Oreochromis niloticus: one gene and its partner. The protein of the gene in region 1 purifies or fractionates together with the protein of each later gene. This does not show direct contact. Links are inferred from orthologs where the notes say so. Each region holds a gene or a part of one and is shown in the gene's direction. Other genes may lie near its edges.

Evidence for each region.
Region 2: the proteins of mtx2 (region 1) and chchd6a purify together in Homo sapiens (co-immunoprecipitation; 3 studies listed by BioGRID and IntAct, counting the BioPlex papers as one, with this or other methods). This does not show direct contact. The link is inferred for Oreochromis niloticus from reciprocal best matches to the Homo sapiens genes MTX2 and CHCHD6.

What each region holds. Positions count from the first base shown.
Region 1 is NC_031978.2:6,922,321-6,931,232, forward strand, and holds the start of mtx2 (metaxin-2), read left to right. Parts: upstream 1-4,738; 5' UTR 4,739-4,845; coding exon 4,846-4,885; intron 4,886-4,999; exon of another isoform or gene 5,000-6,000; intron 6,001-6,006; coding exon 6,007-6,054; intron 6,055-6,130; coding exon 6,131-6,177; intron 6,178-6,875; coding exon 6,876-6,948; intron 6,949-7,248; coding exon 7,249-7,325; intron 7,326-7,446; coding exon 7,447-7,539; intron 7,540-7,652; coding exon 7,653-7,691; intron 7,692-7,774; coding exon 7,775-7,900; intron 7,901-8,174; coding exon 8,175-8,251; intron 8,252-8,634; coding exon 8,635-8,794; 3' UTR 8,795-8,912. UniProt on the Homo sapiens protein: Involved in transport of proteins into the mitochondrion.
Region 2 is NC_031984.2:29,250,985-29,260,434, forward strand, and holds the start of chchd6a (MICOS complex subunit mic25a), read left to right. Parts: upstream 1-5,400; 5' UTR 5,401-5,535; coding exon 5,536-5,619; intron 5,620-7,214; coding exon 7,215-7,308; intron 7,309-8,203; coding exon 8,204-8,318; intron 8,319-9,450. Other genes in the region: E3 ubiquitin/ISG15 ligase TRIM25, read left to right, coding at 796-1,422, 2,206-2,345, 3,642-3,809, 3,989-4,697. UniProt on the Homo sapiens protein: Component of the MICOS complex, a large protein complex of the mitochondrial inner membrane that plays crucial roles in the maintenance of crista junctions, inner membrane architecture, and formation of contact sites to the outer membrane.

The sequences.
Region 1 (8,912 bases):
TTTTTAACTTCAACTTTGGAGCATTTTAATTTTTTTCCTTTTTTGAGGTTTCATCCATATTGAATGTCATAATGAATGAATGAATGAATATATTTTAAGTTCACGGAGACCCCGACATCTCTCTGGTGCAGACAGGGAATTGCTTCATATTTAGACATCCGATGAAGACGCAAAAACATAGTGCTCGTTTGTTGCGGTGGCAAAATACTCGTGACTGCGTTGAACCAGGATGAAACAGGGTTTTCTTTTCTCTACAGGGTAAACATAATACAGGGTTATAGAACAGCTACCTAAAAGCTGAAAAATCCTAATTTATGAATATGCACGTTACCAAAATGTTACATAAACTGGCGCTTAGAGGGTAGGTAGAAGAGCAGAAACACCAAATTGCGTGTTGAGTGACTGCACAAATTATGTTTTAGCTTTTGATTTTGTACAGAGAAGCATCCAAAAATAATTCATATTTGGAAGGAAATTAGCCATATTTTTTTCTTGGATTTTATTTCCCACATTTATAATTTTTTTTTTTTTTTTTTTTAAAAGAGCCAAAATGAAGGTACAATTTTTTAACGCACACACCTGACTGTAAATCCAACTTCTTTTCTCAGGGTTACAGGGTTTTACAAAGAGATCTTTTTTTCTGAAAAAGCTTGTTTGATTTAGCACCGAGGATTAAACTAGCCCTCTGTGAAATACCATGATGTTGCGTATAAATAGGTATGTTCTCTCTTTGATTCCAGTTTAATATGCTATCGATATCTATCATAGTCTACGCCAGTACTTATGTTTAATTTGTACTAATTAGAAACATATTTTATTCTTTCTTTATAGCAAGCATCTTCGCCGTTATTTTTTCGTTACTTTTGAAAAAAAATGTGTATTCCTGTAATAATTTTATATGTGGAAATGTTTTGATAAAAATAGATGAGAAAAATAATAATAATAAAAAAAATTCAAACATTAAAGGTGTGAATATTTGTCTGTGTTGGAGGATAAGCGAAGGACCGATGATTCTGTTTTTTTTGTGGTGGTAGGGGAAGATGAGGTCGGGAGAGAATCAACGGAAGTGACGTGTGATTAGAAACCATGAATTAAAGGCGAAATCGTGATATCCATTTTCGGCTTAAGAAAATAAATAAATACATAAAATAAATAAATAAAATACGGTGTCATCTTTAAGCAGCACGGTCTTTGTCGCAGTCACAACTTAACGGGGGCTCATGATATAGCCAAGCCAAGACTAATGTCTAGTGCGTCATGGCTCCGTTGACACGCTTTTAAAATGCATGCACGCTGTCCCACGGGTGGATTTAGGTTGATCGTCACAGTTTTCTAATTTTCGAGGAGTTATTAAAAGCAGTTGAAACTAAGGAGAAAATTTGGCCTTAAAATATTTAAATTTCTGGGTATTCTGTGTCTTTTACTGTTTTAAAATTTTTGGGGATGTAAATTATTATGTTATGAGACTTTAGTATTGTCTATGATGATATCTTTGTTTAGAAGTTTATAAATCCCCGATACAATAATTCGGGTCCCTCGTAGATCTTGTTTGTCCAAATCGCGAATTTTAGTATGAATATCAATTTAAGTGAAATTGTTTGTGCCAGGATCAAGATTAGCGGTATTTAGGCCTATGTGTATAGTAAATTTACGGGAAAGGAACGTAAATCAAAGTAAAATCCCCTGAAGTAGTGGAATCATGGCTGTGTGTATTTGTGTGTTGATATGTAAGAGAAATGAGCGCTGAGTGCCAATAATTGGTGGCTTCCGTTCGAGACTCGGTTACATGTGCAGGAAAGGCACAAAGGGGCTGACACGGAGCAACCTGGATTATCTATCACACGAAGATCAACCACAGAGCTGCCACAGTCATGACAAAGAAAGTTCAGATCTTCACTAAAAACAGAAAAGCTTCTGAAGTTCTGCATGTCTGCAGTTTGAGATGTTACTCAGGGGAATACCACAAAACAACGTCAAACATCTGGAATTCAAAACCTGATCCCACTAAGACACGCGTGATTACAAACGAGATGCAATTATTCCTAAAATTTCACACCACAAATTCACACGCATTCATGTATTTTATGTATATTTAAATAGACAGAAACAGAATGCAATAATACTGAACAGCATACTTTGTAGATATGCATGTGTTTGTGTTTGTGCATGTACACCTACCCATCTTTCTCTAGTCTGTGATGAAACAGGAATGCCCCCGACTGGTAGCATTAAGTATTACAGTCTGAAAGAGAATTTTTTTTCAGGTTAAGATAAATAATATTTTTCCAGTTAAGAAAACATGGAAATATTTACATTAGAAATACATGGATATATTTATCATTAGTCCTTTGGATTAACAGAAATGTGTATAATACAATGTAATCAATGCTAAATTAGCCTTAGTAATAATAAAGTAAATGAACCAGAAACATACACATCTTTGCAAAGGTTACAATTTTGGGTTGTTACATCTATCCATGCATCATAATGTGTCTCAGTTACTTTGTCCACCTGTGTTTGCACTGTGAACACACAACAGTAAAAATGTACAACTACATCTACCTACAAGTAAGACTTTTAAGACGGGAATGAATGTTGGATATTTCTCACAAGATTAAGAGCATGGCAGGTCACTTTAAATACAGTCACGTGTTCGATTGTAAAGCTTAAAACAGGAAAGGGTGAGAAATGTCACGAGAATGAAACAGTGAAGCATTTCTTATTAAGGTGTGGACAATAACATAGCTACAGAAAAACAGAAACATGGGTGTGCCACAGGCTTGTTTAGATATGGTCGAATGCAGCAGCATTTTTCTGCAAATAGTCTGGATTAATAAACAAAATTTAAAAGATAAATCTTTAAATAGGTAAAGTACAGTCGCTGTGACTTTTTTGTAAGTTTTTAAAGATAAAGTTTTTATCTTTTATTTGGACATTATCTGTCTTTTCAGTCGTTTTCCTTGTACCTGACTATCTTTAGAGAAATGTTTTTTTCTTTTTGTTGTTTACATCACTTAACACTGACATATTAATCATTCAAGAGTAAAAAGTCATCTCACAAGGGACGAAAGGTGTGTATCAAAGAACTAATTTGGAATAGCATTTTTAGGCATTTAGTCTTTTTGCACCAACAATGCAATTCCCAAACACCTATTAGACAAAAACATGGGATGTCTCAGCATGCTGAGCAGTGTGTAATTAAAAACTATCTCCCACAGGTGAAAAGTATCTGAAAATCAACTGACACAGGATGCAACAGATGCATCTGACCTTTCAGTTGATTCATCTGTTTGCAGAAATGATCTCAATGGAAGGAAACCAGGAACAAAAGGCTGATGTATGTCAAACTATTGAAGAACTGGACTGAAAATCAGTATTCACTGGTCTTATGGAGTGATGAATCCAAATGTGAATTTTTTGGTTCATCCCCAGTATAAACAGAGATCATAAGGAGACAGGTACAACAGTGAGATGCTACAGCCATCATTTTTGGGGGCTCCATTTCAACCAGTAATGTTGGGGATCTTGATGGATGGAATTATAACTGCAGAAAAGTACAGTACATTTTTGATCCACCATCCAGAACCTCTGGAAAGCAATTGATTGCCAGCAGCTTAATTTTTGACAATGATCAATGACAAACTGTCAATGCAGTAAACGCATGTCTAGATAGAAAAAACACATAATGAAACACTATCAGTCATGGATTGGCCTCCCCAGAGCCCAGACCTCGACATTATTATAGCAATGTGAGATCATCTTGACAGAAAAAGCAGCCAACATGCAAAATGGAATTTTGAGTGTCATTAAAGAAGCCTGGAGAAGTATTCCTGATTAAAGAAATTACAAGAAAGGCTAAAACTAATACTGTGTTCATAAACTTGGTGGAAAGGAGGCAACTCCTTGAGGAGACTTTTGTTGTGATTTGGCGCTATATAAATAAAATTGAATTGAATTGAATTAAAGAAACTCCTCTGAATTAAATAACAATACAACAAAAAAGCAAATATAATAAGACAGCAACAATAAAATAGTGAGCAAAATAACGAGTATATTAACTTTGCAGATATAAAGGTATAAACACACAATACAGTTCTGCTAAAAATCTACACTTGTCAAAGAAGGATATTGTACTTGCTGCTAGGTAGGCTAGGTAGCAGCAGCCATGGAGTGTGGATGAATGCATGAATGTTACAAACGCTATTAACCTAAAATTCACACTTAGGTTGGGCAAGACACCAAACCTGCCCAAGGATACTTAAACATGCAAACTAGAGAAGTGTGGGATTGAACCACTGCCCTCTATCTCCTGAGCCACAGCCACCCCACACCAACAGTCAGATAAAATCCATTCACATTTAGGTTTTGCTGACTTTGCCCTCCAAATGTATGTTTTCTGCCCTGGACGTTATCTCTTTAATCCTATGTTTGCTGTAACAAAATTATCACATAGATTTCAAATAATGCTTCTCTGAGTCCATGTCTCTCTCACTCTGACATGATGTGTCTGTTTTAGCCAGTTTTATATACACTTTTTTGTGCGGTTAGTTCTTTTCCTTAAACCCAAATAAAAAATGCTACTTTAATAATATGTATTTTTCCATGCATCAAAAGCCCCAATTATTTCTAGTTAAATATAACAATATTGCTACAGTAGCCTGTATGCGCGTCCATAAAGTGGAACTAAAAATTAATGCAACCGTTTCTCTTACGGACATCAATCGCAGGCGGACCGGTCAGTGACTGCAGAACAAGTACTTGCCCTTAAACTTGCAAGCAGTGCTGTTGCTCAGATCGCTCATTATTCTAATCATTATTTAACAATAAGAGTACAACAGCAGCACTATGTCTCTTGCGGCAGAGGCGTTCATGTCGCAGATGGCAGGTAATATGTTGACTTCACCCCGTTTTTCTAGTGATTATGAATAACATTAGCCAGCTAGCTACCAAGAGCTAGGGTTCACAGTAACATAGGCTCTTTACAAATGTAGTTACTTACATATATGGACCTTTAGCTGTTACTATAGCTGCCTTTGTTCGCCTTTTCTTGGTTTCTTAAACAAAGACTGACTGGCCTGGAAAACCCCCAAAGCACTCTGTCATTCTGCATGTCGTGGATTGCTTGGCAGGTGTAACACAGGAATCTAATGTAAATAGCGCCATATTTCTGTTTACTGTTAAAAGCATAAATCAGCAGGAGAACGGTGAATTCAAGCGGAAACGGCTCAAGAGGGCTAATGTTAGTGACAACCCCGTATCGTTACAAAATCGGCTCAAATCTATCAATTTTAACAGAGACATGCTCAGAGATTCCCCCGGTGGCTGGAGGCTGTACTGCAAGGACGGCGGTGTAACAGCATAGGTCGTTGAGTGAGCACCGTGCGCCCCGTGTCTGAATTCTTTATAATCGTTTATCAAATAACTTTATATGAGTAGAAGTGAAGAAGAGGGTGCAGTCAGGGTGATGTGGATGGAGATGAGTGTCCGGGGTGATTTATGTCAGAAGTGAGCCAGAGTGAAAGGGAAGGTCTGCAAGATGGTAGTGAGACCTGCTGTGATGTATGGTCTGTAGACGGTACACTAACAAAGGTCAGTGGTGCTAAGGTTTTCTTTGGGAGTGAGCAGGATGGACAAGATTAGAACTAAGTATATCAGAGGGACAGATCAGGTTAAGGAGTTTGACAAAGTTAGAGAGGTGAGGCTGAGATGGTTTAGATATTTGCAGAGGAGGGGTAGTGAACATGGAGCTGGCAGGCAGGAGGAAAAAAGGAAGACCACACGAATGGTCATGGATATAGGCTAGGAGGACATGCGGAGAGTTGGTGTGAGATGAAGGCAGATGATCCACCGGGACGATTGTTAAAGGAAGAGTCAAAAGTAGACAAAGAACAATTAGTAAAAGAACGTTGACAGTCGATCCCACAAGCAACATTATAGGTTAATGAGTCACATTATCACCGTATAATTGTGTGTCTTTCCCTGCATGTCTGTTTCTGATGTTGACAGCTGCTGAGCCGTGGCCTGAAAATGCAACCTTGTACCAGCCACTGAAGGGTGAGTTAGTGAAATGGAGGCACAAACATAATGTCAATAGCAATATAGCTATTTATATATTTTGTTATTTTTGCAGAGGATCAGATTCTCCTGTCGGACTGCGCCTCATCTCTCGCTGTTCAGGTAAAGCAAACATACATGTACACACATTACACACCTTGCTCAATGTAATGTTTATTTGTTAATTACTCGGCCTGTTGTGCTCAGGAAACAAGGAAAGCTTCTGAACGTTTTAGTGGTTTTAATTCAAATATTTAATACTATTTTCATTATTTAATTAATGAAAACTGAACTTGTATAAAAGCTTTCAGTTCTTCATTGCACAATTTTGAACATTTAACCAGCACAAAACTGATATAAGATAACAGATGAACATTGGCTGCTGCCGACAATTTAATGTCAACGTATTTGGTGTCTTATTAGTTGACTGCCAACTAATAAGATACTGATATTAGGTTGTTATACTGCTGAAAATATATACATATATTTTTTTTAATGCATCAAGTATGAAATGCAGTTGTTGATATTATCTGTATTTGACCTTTTGACCTCTACTCTGACTTTGGATTTGACCTTACTCATGGAAGGAAATCTGCATTGCTGCAAAATAAAGTTAACTGATTTTTTTAAAAGCATATCAAAGTATACCACAAGTAATATTTTTCATTTACTTTCACAGTATGTTTAGTTAATGCATTCATCCGAATGAATGATTTGAGACTGGGAGGAGATGCAAACCCAACCTCATGGCGTTACACGCTAGTGTCCTCCTAGTGCTTTTTTCCTCAGCTGCTTAATTCTGTTGTGTTTCTGATGTGCAGGCGTACCTGAGGATGTGTGGTCTGCCAGTTCAGGTGGTCTACAGAGCAAACGCTGAATACATGTCACCTTCTGGTAAGTACACATGCCGCTTCAGAGACAAATTCTGGGTGTCTGATCTCAATACTGTGTAATCTCAGCACTCATACTGCTCATTAAAACATTACACAACTGTACACTGTAAGCTGGTTTGAAAATTGTTAGTTAGGATTTTAGTAGAAATTTTAGTCTTACTCCGCTATAAAATGAAATGCTAAGTTTGCTTCCAGGTTTCGTGTAGGTGCATCTGGAAGTTACTTTGTTGCAGGTTAGCGTTTTGTGTTGAATTAAATGTGATGATTTTAATGCCCAGCCTTTTTATGTTTGTGTCCATAGGTAAAATTCCCTTTATCCACGTGGGCAACCAGGTGGTGTCAGAACTGGGGCCGATTGTGCAATTTACTAAAGCCAAGGCAAGTGTTGTACAGATGAAAGCTGTTATTGTTTCTTTTGGCAAATTCTCTTCCAGTTTTTCCCAGTAGAGGAGCAGATTTTCATATTTCTTTCTGCTCTTGTCTTCTTTTGGGTACTTAGGGTCATTCTCTGAGCGATGGCTTAGATGATGTTCAGAGAGCAGAAATGAAAGCGTACATGGAGCTGGTCAACAATATGCTGCTTACTGCTGAGGTATGAAAAACATAAAAACCATAACATACTGATACTAGAACTTCAGCACATATACAGTTTTTATGAGTGTGTCTGAGAAATATCCTCTCACCCATGTCCTCATCTCTCTACAGTTGTACATTCAGTGGTGTGATGATTCTACAGCCACTGAGGTGTGTACACCAGGCTTTAATAAGTTGTTGTTGTTTTTTTAAAGTCTTGATAACCTCCTAATCAGCTGTATCTGTTTTTGTAGATTTCTCGTCCCAGATACAGCAGTCCGTACTCATGGCCTCTCAATAAAATCCTCGCCTACCAGAAGCAGTGGGAGGTGCGCAGGAAGATGAACGCCATTGGCTGGGGAGGGAAAACGTTGGAGCAGGTTAGCAACAACCTGGAAGTGAAAAGCTGTTTTGCCAGCACTACATTTCCCTTTCTGCAATCAGAAAAATAATTTCATATCTTATTCTTTTAAAGGTGGAACTCTTCAAAGTTTTACAGAATTGATCTTTTAGACTGTTTGAAGGCCCTTAAGTATAACTTATTTGTGTATGTAGGAAAAAGAGCCCAGTCTGATCGTCAACATCAGACTGTCTAGAAAAAAAATAAAGTAAACAAACATGTTTTAAAAGTCTTTATGTCCTCATGTATTTCAGGTTTATGAAGATGTGAGTCAATGCTGCCAGGCTCTCTCTCAGAGGCTGGGAACACAGTCATACTTTTTTAATAAACAGTATGTATTTTTTTTTTTTTCCTATCTGTATGTTTGTGGTTATCGCTTTCTCATTTGTCTTGTTTATAACAACTGAATAACAAATCTACATCTGAGTTCTCCAGAATCCTTTCTCCAACCCCTGTTATAGGTGTCCACACCAAAAAGGAAATGTTTTTAATTATTGCAAGCAGTTTTCCTTGAGCACCACCTTGTGGTTTAAAATTGTAACGATCTCGTGATCAACTGAGAAGCTTTGTTCTGTACTCCCTGACAATATTTGATTTGTGTTAAAACAAAGTATTACAAGTGAAGCCAGTGTCTGTAACATCTCATTTCTGATTATATTTAAAGCTGAAGGAGTGCCAGTCATTAACCGTGTGGTGTGTGTGTGTGTGTTATAGGCCTACGGAGCTGGATGCATTGGTGTTTGGCCATCTCTTCACTATACTGACTACTAGACTGACCAGCACTGAGCTGGCAGAGAGGATCAAGAGCTACAGCAATCTTCTGTCCTTCTGCAGACGCATTGAACAGACCTACTTTGAAGACAAGAGCTCCTGAAGGACTGAAAATAACATATCTGTCTCTCTATCACCTCTTCTCGTACATTCTTTCCTTCTCTCATTCCCCAGATTGTAGCCCCAAGAAGCTGAAATGCCTAAAAAAAAATTGCATACGT
Region 2 (9,450 bases), on another chromosome or scaffold:
ATTTTAGAGTAAGATCTTTACTTTTGCTGAAAAATTTCTTCCATTTCACCTTTTGTCCGTGGGTGACTGCTACTTTGGTGGAAAAGTGTATCGCAAACAGTTTCTTTGTTAAACACTACCTACCCTGGTGGAAATCATGAGTCTCCCCCTGCAGTGTTTACAGTCAACAAGATATTTCAGTGGATGTGAGTGTATGATTGATACGTTCGTCTATACTCTATGTCCATTCTCTTTAAATCCCCAAAATGAAACAAAACTGAGCTACTGCCAGACAGAGCCACAATTCTCCCTTCAGCTTGGTGATACTCTTTATAGGTTGTAGAACTTTTTAAAGAAACTGAAAGTGAAAGCATTTAATTCCCCCAAATGGATTCTCTTTTGCACATATTAAGTATTATCTAACCAAAATTCATGCTTTATGGTATCCAGCAGTACTCAGCATCCTCATACCTCTTTCCTAAAACAAGTTCTGATGATTTGTCAGAACTATTTTAACCGTCAACAGCAGCCAGTATGATGGTGTCAGTTCCTGGCAGCACAGCAAACAAGGCGTCTTAGAACGGAATGTTGTCCTGCAAACATTTGTGGATACACCTCCTCCTGGTCGGATAAGTATGCACTCACTGCCTTTCTGGCCTGTTCTGTATAGACTCACCTGAGGGCTTGACGGTTAAGTAGAAGTGATAAGAAAGGAGAAATGAAGTAAGATTAGTCAAAGGTATTTAAAGAAGACCTGACAAAAGAAGAGAAACTAAGCTCGAACAGAAGCAGCTACCCGTCTCACCACCTCGGATCATGTCGCTGTCAAAGCCAGAGGACCAGCTCGCCTACGAGCTGAGCTGTCCCATCTGCCTTCAGCTCTACTCTGACCCGGTGGCTCTCCCCTGTGGGCACAACTACTGTCTATCCTGTATCCGCAAGACTATTGACAGCACGGATAAGACTGGCAAAATCCTGCCGCGCTGCCCAGAATGTCGTGAGGAGTATCCTGGCATGGATAACCTGCAGATAAATTTCAAACTTCGCAGCATCATTGAGAACTACAAGGCCACCGCGCCGCTGCTGAACATGCAAGCCGACTGCGTGGATACCAAAATGGAGGTTTTCTGCGATCAGTGCATAGACGAGCAGTCGCCCGCCGTGAAGACCTGCCTGAAGTGTGAGGTGTCTCTGTGCTCCAGACACCTTCAGAAACACAACGAGAAGGAGTTGTTCAGGACCCACCCCGTGGTGGAGCCCACGACGGAGCTGAGAGTGAAGGCCTGTGCCATCCACCAGCGTCCCCTTGAGTACTTTTGTTCCAACGACATGATCTCTCTGTGCACCACATGCATCGTAGAGGGCCATCACGAGAGCCACGATGTTCTCACCTTTAGCATAGCTGAAGAGGAGATGAGACGAGGGCTGGAGGCCCGAAATAAGGTATTTTTGTTATATCTGTTATATTGTAGCATTAAATATTAGGAAGGGGGATTATTATGTCTATATATATATATGTATATATATATATATGTATTTTTTTTTAATTGATAACCTACAAAATGTGGCCACATCTGGTTCAGCTGAGCATGCACAAAAGTGAAAGTAGTGCTCAGCCAGGGCTTGTATACTGATGAATAAAATATTCAAGTTATACAAATGCATGATTCATGCTATAAAAATATGTGAGGGAACTTACTGTTGAGAAATGCCAAAACCTGAAAATCCTGTAATATAATTTTGGAACAATGTTTAAAAGACTGTGCTCTATGCATATGGGACACAGACATGGGAACCTAACTTGTTTCACATATAAATTAAGGGCTTGGCACCTCAGTGACTCACTGCCATTTTCGGGGAGTGGTGAAGATCTGGTATGCAAAACAAATCTGTCTGATGGGAATAACCTGATGACCTTTGGCAGAGTCGTGCTATACATACACTGTAAAAGTACAAAGTCAGAATGTAAAAATTAATATTTTGGACAAGAAAATGATCAAATGTTGATGGAACATGATCATATATTACTTAACATTACAGACATTTACAGTACTACATATATGTATATATAGATCTGTATTCTCTACTTGTTTTCTGAAAGCCACTTACGAGAAAAGGCCATCCAGTTTTTCCAGATCTGAAATCTTTTATGCTTATACACAATAGAAAGAATCCTGTTGTGTGAAACACAGAAGATCTTAAAACATATTATATGTGTGTTTGCAGGTCATTTCTAGTAGACTGCAGCTGACAGAGGGACTCCTGCAGAAGACAGCAGAGGATCAGGGAGCCTCTGAAGCTGTAGGAGACAAAATGGTCAGCAAGGCTGTGACAGTCATGGACAGCATAGGTGCTCTGGTGGACAGGTAACCTGCTGCACATTTGCTGCTAGTAACACTGCCTTAAAAAGTAGCATGTGGTGTAATTAAGGAAATGTTCATGCACAGTACGTTTTCAAACAGCAAGATGACAAATGATATTGGCTTAAAAAAGGTGTGGAAAACCCAGACTGCATATTTCAGAGGTGGTAGAACAGTGTTCCTTCCGGACCTTCTCTCTGACAAGCGAATTTACAGGATGCGCTTCATATTTTCAGCAGCAAATAAAAATACAGACCAAAACGCAGGCCCCTCAAAGAATGTAGCATGCATGTATGTAATGAATGCAGTTTATCTGCATTTTAAGCCTACCAGTGTCTGTTTTGTGGGATAGATTCAAGGGTGTTTATAACACCCTAATACTTCAGTAAGTTCATTTATTAACCACTTTACACAGATTTGAAGCACTGTCCACATAAAAAAGGACATTAAGTACAATAATAGTCAATAAAAAGCAATGAAATAAACAGGCAATCAATAACATTCTCAACAGAGAGATAAATAATCTGAAGCCTGGCCTTTTAGTACTCTGCATGTAAATATGAGGATTTTAAAATAAATCCTTAAATCTACTGAGAGTAAAGAGTACAAAAGGCTAGTTTTCTACTTTAAGTTCAAGAAAACATTCAAGAAAGTATATCTTTGGAAGTGAGGCAGTAAGACTGAAATGTAGAGCTCAGTCACATTAGTGAGGCTGTGTGTGAGCTAGTTGCACTTTAAGCTAAATAAAAATATTGAGCATGCATAGCAGGAATTTTCCCGGGGCTTAGGGACTCTTGGGGGAGTTTATTATGTCATATGTTGTCAGTCTGAATAAATATATGGAAGTTCGTGCTGAGGGTTGGAACTTTCTGGAAGTTCAGGAACTTCTGGGTGTGCCTCTGAGCACATTGCTTATCATTTAAGTAGCCTGCCAGCAGCATTTCAGCCAGTTTCATCTCACAGACATTTTCTCAGTACCAGGTATTTACTGAAAGAACAAAAACAAAACAAAACAAAAAACTCACATACATCATTAGATTCTATCTGTTTAGCTCTTTTGTTTGATTTTTTTTTAAATGATCTAGCTAGCTGGCTAACCTTATCTAATTAGCACAGATTAAAACTTAGACTGGTGAATATTTTCTGAGCTTTGTGAGTATTTCTCATTGTATGGATGCATGTACAACTCTAAAGCAGACACAGTGATGAATCGATCCACCTGATTCTGTCTAGTAACATTGCGATAATAAAAGGAATAAAACTGACCAGTCCTCTTCACTTGTGTGCTGTGCTGTGATACAGGTACAGGGATCGCCTGCTTTCGCTGTTGGAGGAGGAGAGAGGACAGCGCCGCAAAAGCTGGCAGCTAGGTATGAGTGCACTTGAGGAGCAGCAGCAGCAGCTGATGGAGGCCCAAAAGAGCGCCACAGAGGTCCTCAATGAGACAGACACATGCATCTTTATACACAGGTACAGAAATCTGCCCTGCTATTACAATTAAAAAGAAGAAATACATAGAACAATGTACAAATGACAAGAAAGTGGAAATGATGCAGTATTCTTACTGATAAACTGACACTTCTCTGTTTATTACCCATGGCATATGGCTAGATGAGTGGGGTAAGTAACAATAAATCTTTGCTCTCCAGGTTCATGCAGATTGAACAAAAGCTGAGAGATGTTGTCACCAGTGCCATTCCCTCCTACATCCCCTCAAAGACTCCACTCAATACAATGCTCCTGCAGGGAGGCCTCAAAACCCAAGACTTCTGCACAGAAATGACTCGCCTCATGGATTCTCTTCATATCCTCCTCAACCCACTGGAACTCACCTTCAGCATCTACACCGCCCACCCCAACCTGCTGGTGTCCAACGATCTGCGCACAGTCAAATACAGTTCCAACAAGCAGTCGTACCCGGAGCACCCCGAGCGTTTCACGAGCACACCTCAGATCCTGTGCAGCCAGGGTTTCTCTGGCGGCGAGCACGTATGGGTTGTAGAAGTGGGACCCAATAGCATGTGGTCACTGGGTGTGTGCTACAAGAGCATCCCTCGCCGTGGTGACCACAGCCGTCTGGGGCACAACACTGTGTCCTGGAGGCTGCAGTGGAAAAATGGCAAGCTGACAGTGTGCCAGTGCTCCTCGAATGTGGTCCTTAAGGAAGTGACCACACCACCGGTCAAGATTGAGGTCACACTGGACTATGAGGGGGGAACTTTGACGTTCCACAGCACCAAAGGGCGCAGGGAGCACCTCCACACCTTAAAGGCTGTGTTTAAAGAGCCTGTTTACCCGGCGTTCGGTATACATTCAAACACACCAGACTCCTGGATCACACTGAGCAGTGGGATGTGAATACGTCCTGCATAGAAATTGCTTTGTTAGTCAGCCAAGTGAACTGCCTTCCAGCTAACACAAAAACCAACAATGTGTCTGCTGCCTGGCATTGCTGCATCGTATACATTTAGCATTACAATCACATGAGATTGTTTACAAAAATTTGTTGTTCATACTTAGGGTGTTTTAATAGAGTAGATTTATCAATGCAGGCGCCTATTACCTTTGTGAGATCTTGAGGCATAAACATTTATGTCACAAGATCATGTTTTCATTTTGTGTGTTTTGTAAATGTTATTGTAACGTGTTGAATGTTGTGTTTGTCCCCCATACAGTAAACACTGGTGTGCGCAGACGCTGACATTTAGGGACAAACTGAGACATGTTTTGTGTTTATTCTACAAATAAACTTATCTGGCAATGTTTCTGTGCGTCTTGTGACCAACTTTGTCTCAATACTTATACAGGTGCATAGAAATAATCTATGCCGTATATAGCCTTTGATTGGCTGTTGATATTTCAGCCATTCAAGTATGACCCTGGAGTTGCCAGGTGTGCCTGTAAATCCTTGATTTAAAAAAAAAAAAAGCGATTAAGCAATTTGCATTTGATATGACTTTCCCCAGAACACACATCTAATAATTTCTTATTAACAATTTCGTTTTCACACGCAATTTTATCATTTCTTGCCAACGCACGATCTGACCTTTACACATGTGCAAGAGGAGGATGGTTCACGAAGAACCTGGCAACCCATCCCATCTGTCTCACATTCTGTCATTGGGCAGGACAGCAACATTATTTCATATTATAAACATTTTTCTCACCACGAAAGCTGTGCGTTTGCAGCAGAAGCATGGGTTCGGGAGAGAGTACAACAAGAAAAGTGTCCTTCGGTGTCGACGATGAGGACAGGGTCAGAATTCTCCGTGGAGTCAAGGTAATGCTAATTTAGCTAGCACTTGAGAAGCCATGCTAGCATTACTTTAATGTGTCGCTTAGCACTGACTGGCTATTGTCAAATTAAGTTGTTGCTTTGTTCAAGCTATCAGTCTACGACCGGTAGAGTGTCACTGCTAAAATGAGGAGGTGCAAAGGGACGCAGAGGGTGGGATAGGTTGCTGAAAGAGCTGAAATACGTAAATCTTTTTGTTACCCCAAACTCCATTGGTAATAAGGTGAAAATAGTAATGTTCCTTGTTCACAAGTAAAGGAATACATTAGGGAGATGGTCTAAGAAATATAGAAAACTTTAGGACCTTAAGGTAAATTCGGCATATACATTGCCCACCTAGCAGGAAAACTAATTACCCGAAATTAAACATTTTAGCTGTCACCTACTCGCTGGCATTTGCTAACAACGTTAACGCGATAAAACGTTTAGTTTGCATTAAAGAGCATTAAAGAACGCTGTTATCCTACTGGAACATGTCAGCTGCACAGTAAGTGTGTATCGAAAAAACGGGGAGAATCGTATAAATGTCATAACTGCCTGATATGTTGTTTTAACTAACCATATGTGTAATTAGAAGTGGATGGCTTTAAATGAGCAAATTTCAAACGAGGTTTGGTATGGAGTTGACGCCTCTTTAGTGTTGCTTTCACGTGCTGTTGGACATATGTTTTTAACTTTAGCTTATACTTTTAGAACATCTAAGAGTAGAGCGAGTTAGTGTATGTAAGTGAAACCAGTGAAACACTAATGCAGTTGCATATATAACTAAATTGTCGTCTTCTAAAACAGGAAACGATAATATACAAAACAACAATTAGAAATGATTTTGAACAGGATATAGGCATGTCTAGTTTTGCTGAGCTTTCGGTCATCTGTCAAGCGCTGACAACATCAGTTAGATAATCATACACCACCATGTTTATTTCGTTTCTGAACTCGTTTGTGGAGATTCTTGCATTGTCATAATGATGCTGATGTGTACTCGTTTCACCTTTAGCCTGTTGGCGTGTGTGATTAAGTGGCAAATTAAAATTCTTAAGTTATTCTTCTTGCATGCACACACATACAGAAAATCAGCTGGTGTGGGTGTGTGCCTCCAAATATCCTAACATTATGAGGAAAAACAACCACTGGAAAATGAAGCATGTCAAAAATTAATATGTTGTGGTGGAATGCAATGACATGCAATGGCTGTGAGCAGTTTTGTAAGTTGACCAGTTTTTATGTAGTGCTTTTCTACTCTGAGCACCCAAAGTGCTTTTAAAATGTCTGTAAGAAAAGAGCCTGCCTTGGTTGCACATTCAGTGTGACTCATAGAAACAGTGAGTCAGTGCTCCCTTCTGTGGTTTTTGGGGTAGTAGTGCTTAAGGACTTCCCTGGATACACAAAGACACACACACACACACACACACACACATACAGATACACAAACACTAGAGGTTCAGTGATCCTCTATTAATGGCATGTTTTTCTTGTTTGTTTGTTTTTTATCTGAAGGATTACACAAATGTTGTTTTCTCTTAAATAAATAACACACGTCATGTATATGATATGATTTGTGGTTGACTCTGTTTGTCCAGCTGTCAGAAGATGTTCTGCAAAGAATGAGAGGAGTTGCCAACATTGCCCCAGAACGCACGTCATCACCTGCCTCAAGCCCTCAGACAAACACAGGTAGTGATCATTTTTGAGATTAAATTTTATTGATGCCTCCGCCATTATCGAGTTTGCTTACAGACCAGTTTGTTTTAATTATTCCCCTTTTGATTTCTGACAGTTTATTCTCTCTGTATTTGTGGGGGTAGGTTTCACGGAGTCTCAGCATTAACAGTTTTATTATCTCTCAGTGTGAACACACTGACTGAAACTCAGGTGTAAAACAAAAAGCCTCACCCGCTGTGAATTTGGCATCATTGTTCTGCCATGTGCAATTGCGAGTACAATGTGCCAACATCGTGTGAGAACTTGATAAACTTTGACACATACAATTCGAATGGAGTAGACAATTTGGAACTGGTTCTCGATTCTCATCTGTAAACGCACGTATCACCTCAGCTGATAGTGTTTAACCTCACGAGAAAATACTTCTTTTAGAAAAAAACGTGTTGCCTCAGCTTTTTAACTGGAAACCTGTGTCAGAATAAACTGAGAGCGTGAAATGATTTTGGCAGCCAGGGAAAAGATGTGGTGTCCTCCTTTGAAGAAGAAAAAAAAAGTCACTACTTTCTTTCTTTGGTGGAATTTAATTTACTGAAATTGACTGTTGCTTTTCAAGTAGTCAAAATTTGCAAGAAAATTTATAGAGTTTTACACTTCTTTTAAGATAAGATAACACATATTCACTGTCAACTAAATGTCTGACCTAAAGTAAATTTTGAGCTACAGTTCATACAAACTATATATGTATATATATAAATGTAAACTTCAACTATGTTTGATTATATAGCATTAATTATACATGTGCATTTGTCCCTATTTTGACAGTAAAGCTGTAAGCCACAAAAGTGCCAGTGTTGTTGTTACCTTGTGTGATAGTTTTGTCCTTTGAACATTTGTTGTCTTTGTTCAGCCTCCTCTCACAGTGCCAGCTCAGGCTCTCAATCTCAGCAAGGCCCACAGCAGCGCGCCCCACCCAGTTCTCAGCACAGCAAATCGGCCTCCTTTAGCAAAGAAGATCAGAGGAGGTGGGTTAAAGGAAATTCAGGATACAGATTTGAGTTAAGCTGATTTCTGCCTGGTGACCATTTGTATGCATTGCAAATAGAATTGTTGCATATCAGAGCAAAAGGTTTTTTGTGATTTGTTATAAATCACAAGGTTGTGTTGCTGTTTGCGTTGGAAAGAAAACAAAAAATATGGATGGTGTGCCACATTTTTTTTGAAGGCTCAATCAAAAAAACTAAAATGAGCTGTAACAGGATAATATGCAACACTGTGAAGGTTTCAGAAATATGATCTGACGCTTATCATTTCAGAGAGCCTTTAAATCAAGAGCTTCTTCTAAAAGAGTCCTTACTAATTTAACCTGCAGGGCATCATGCATGGTTTCACATTAAGTCAAGTTGAGTAAATGCATAAATAAATACCTGTAAAGCTTATCAAGCTCCTATTTCCATTCTGAGTTGTGTGATTGTACAACATGTCTCTGTTTTGATGGAAGCTGTTTTTGTATCCAAAGAAGTTTGCTAGTTCACTATTGGTTAACAGTGTGTCTATATAAAGTAGTTTCACATTATTGAAAGCTGTCATGGCCTTTGCTATTTATAAGCTAAACTCAGGTATCACTTGACATTTCAGATATGGGTTAGACTGTGTTGCACTTTGATAATTTAGTAAGATAAATGATGTTTGATAAGGACCTTCATTAATAGTAATTTTGTTCATTTGAAAATGGATAAAAGGAGGTCATTCTTATTTCATGTCAGCATTCTGATTCATGTCTAATGAATGAACTAAACTCCTGATAAGTTTGAAGCTACCCCACTATGCATGTTTCTAATATTCTATGGAGGGATCTTAAATTGTGTCTATACTGCCCCCTAGTGGACACACATAAATATATACATACGACATCTGACTGTACTGTGGAATGCAGGACTTGATGGCCATGAAAAACAGTATAAAAGATCAGTGTACTGTAGCTTCTGGTGCCTTAAACCTCCATTCTTTGTAACACCCATCAGGCCATGTGAAAAGGCTTCTGGGTCAAGGCTATGGGGAAAAAAGGTCCTGAGCTGTGACCTCTGTAAACACTTTCCCGATGACTTTATGGGCTCAGTCACTCATTTCAGATTATGTTGAATTAAAAACAAAACA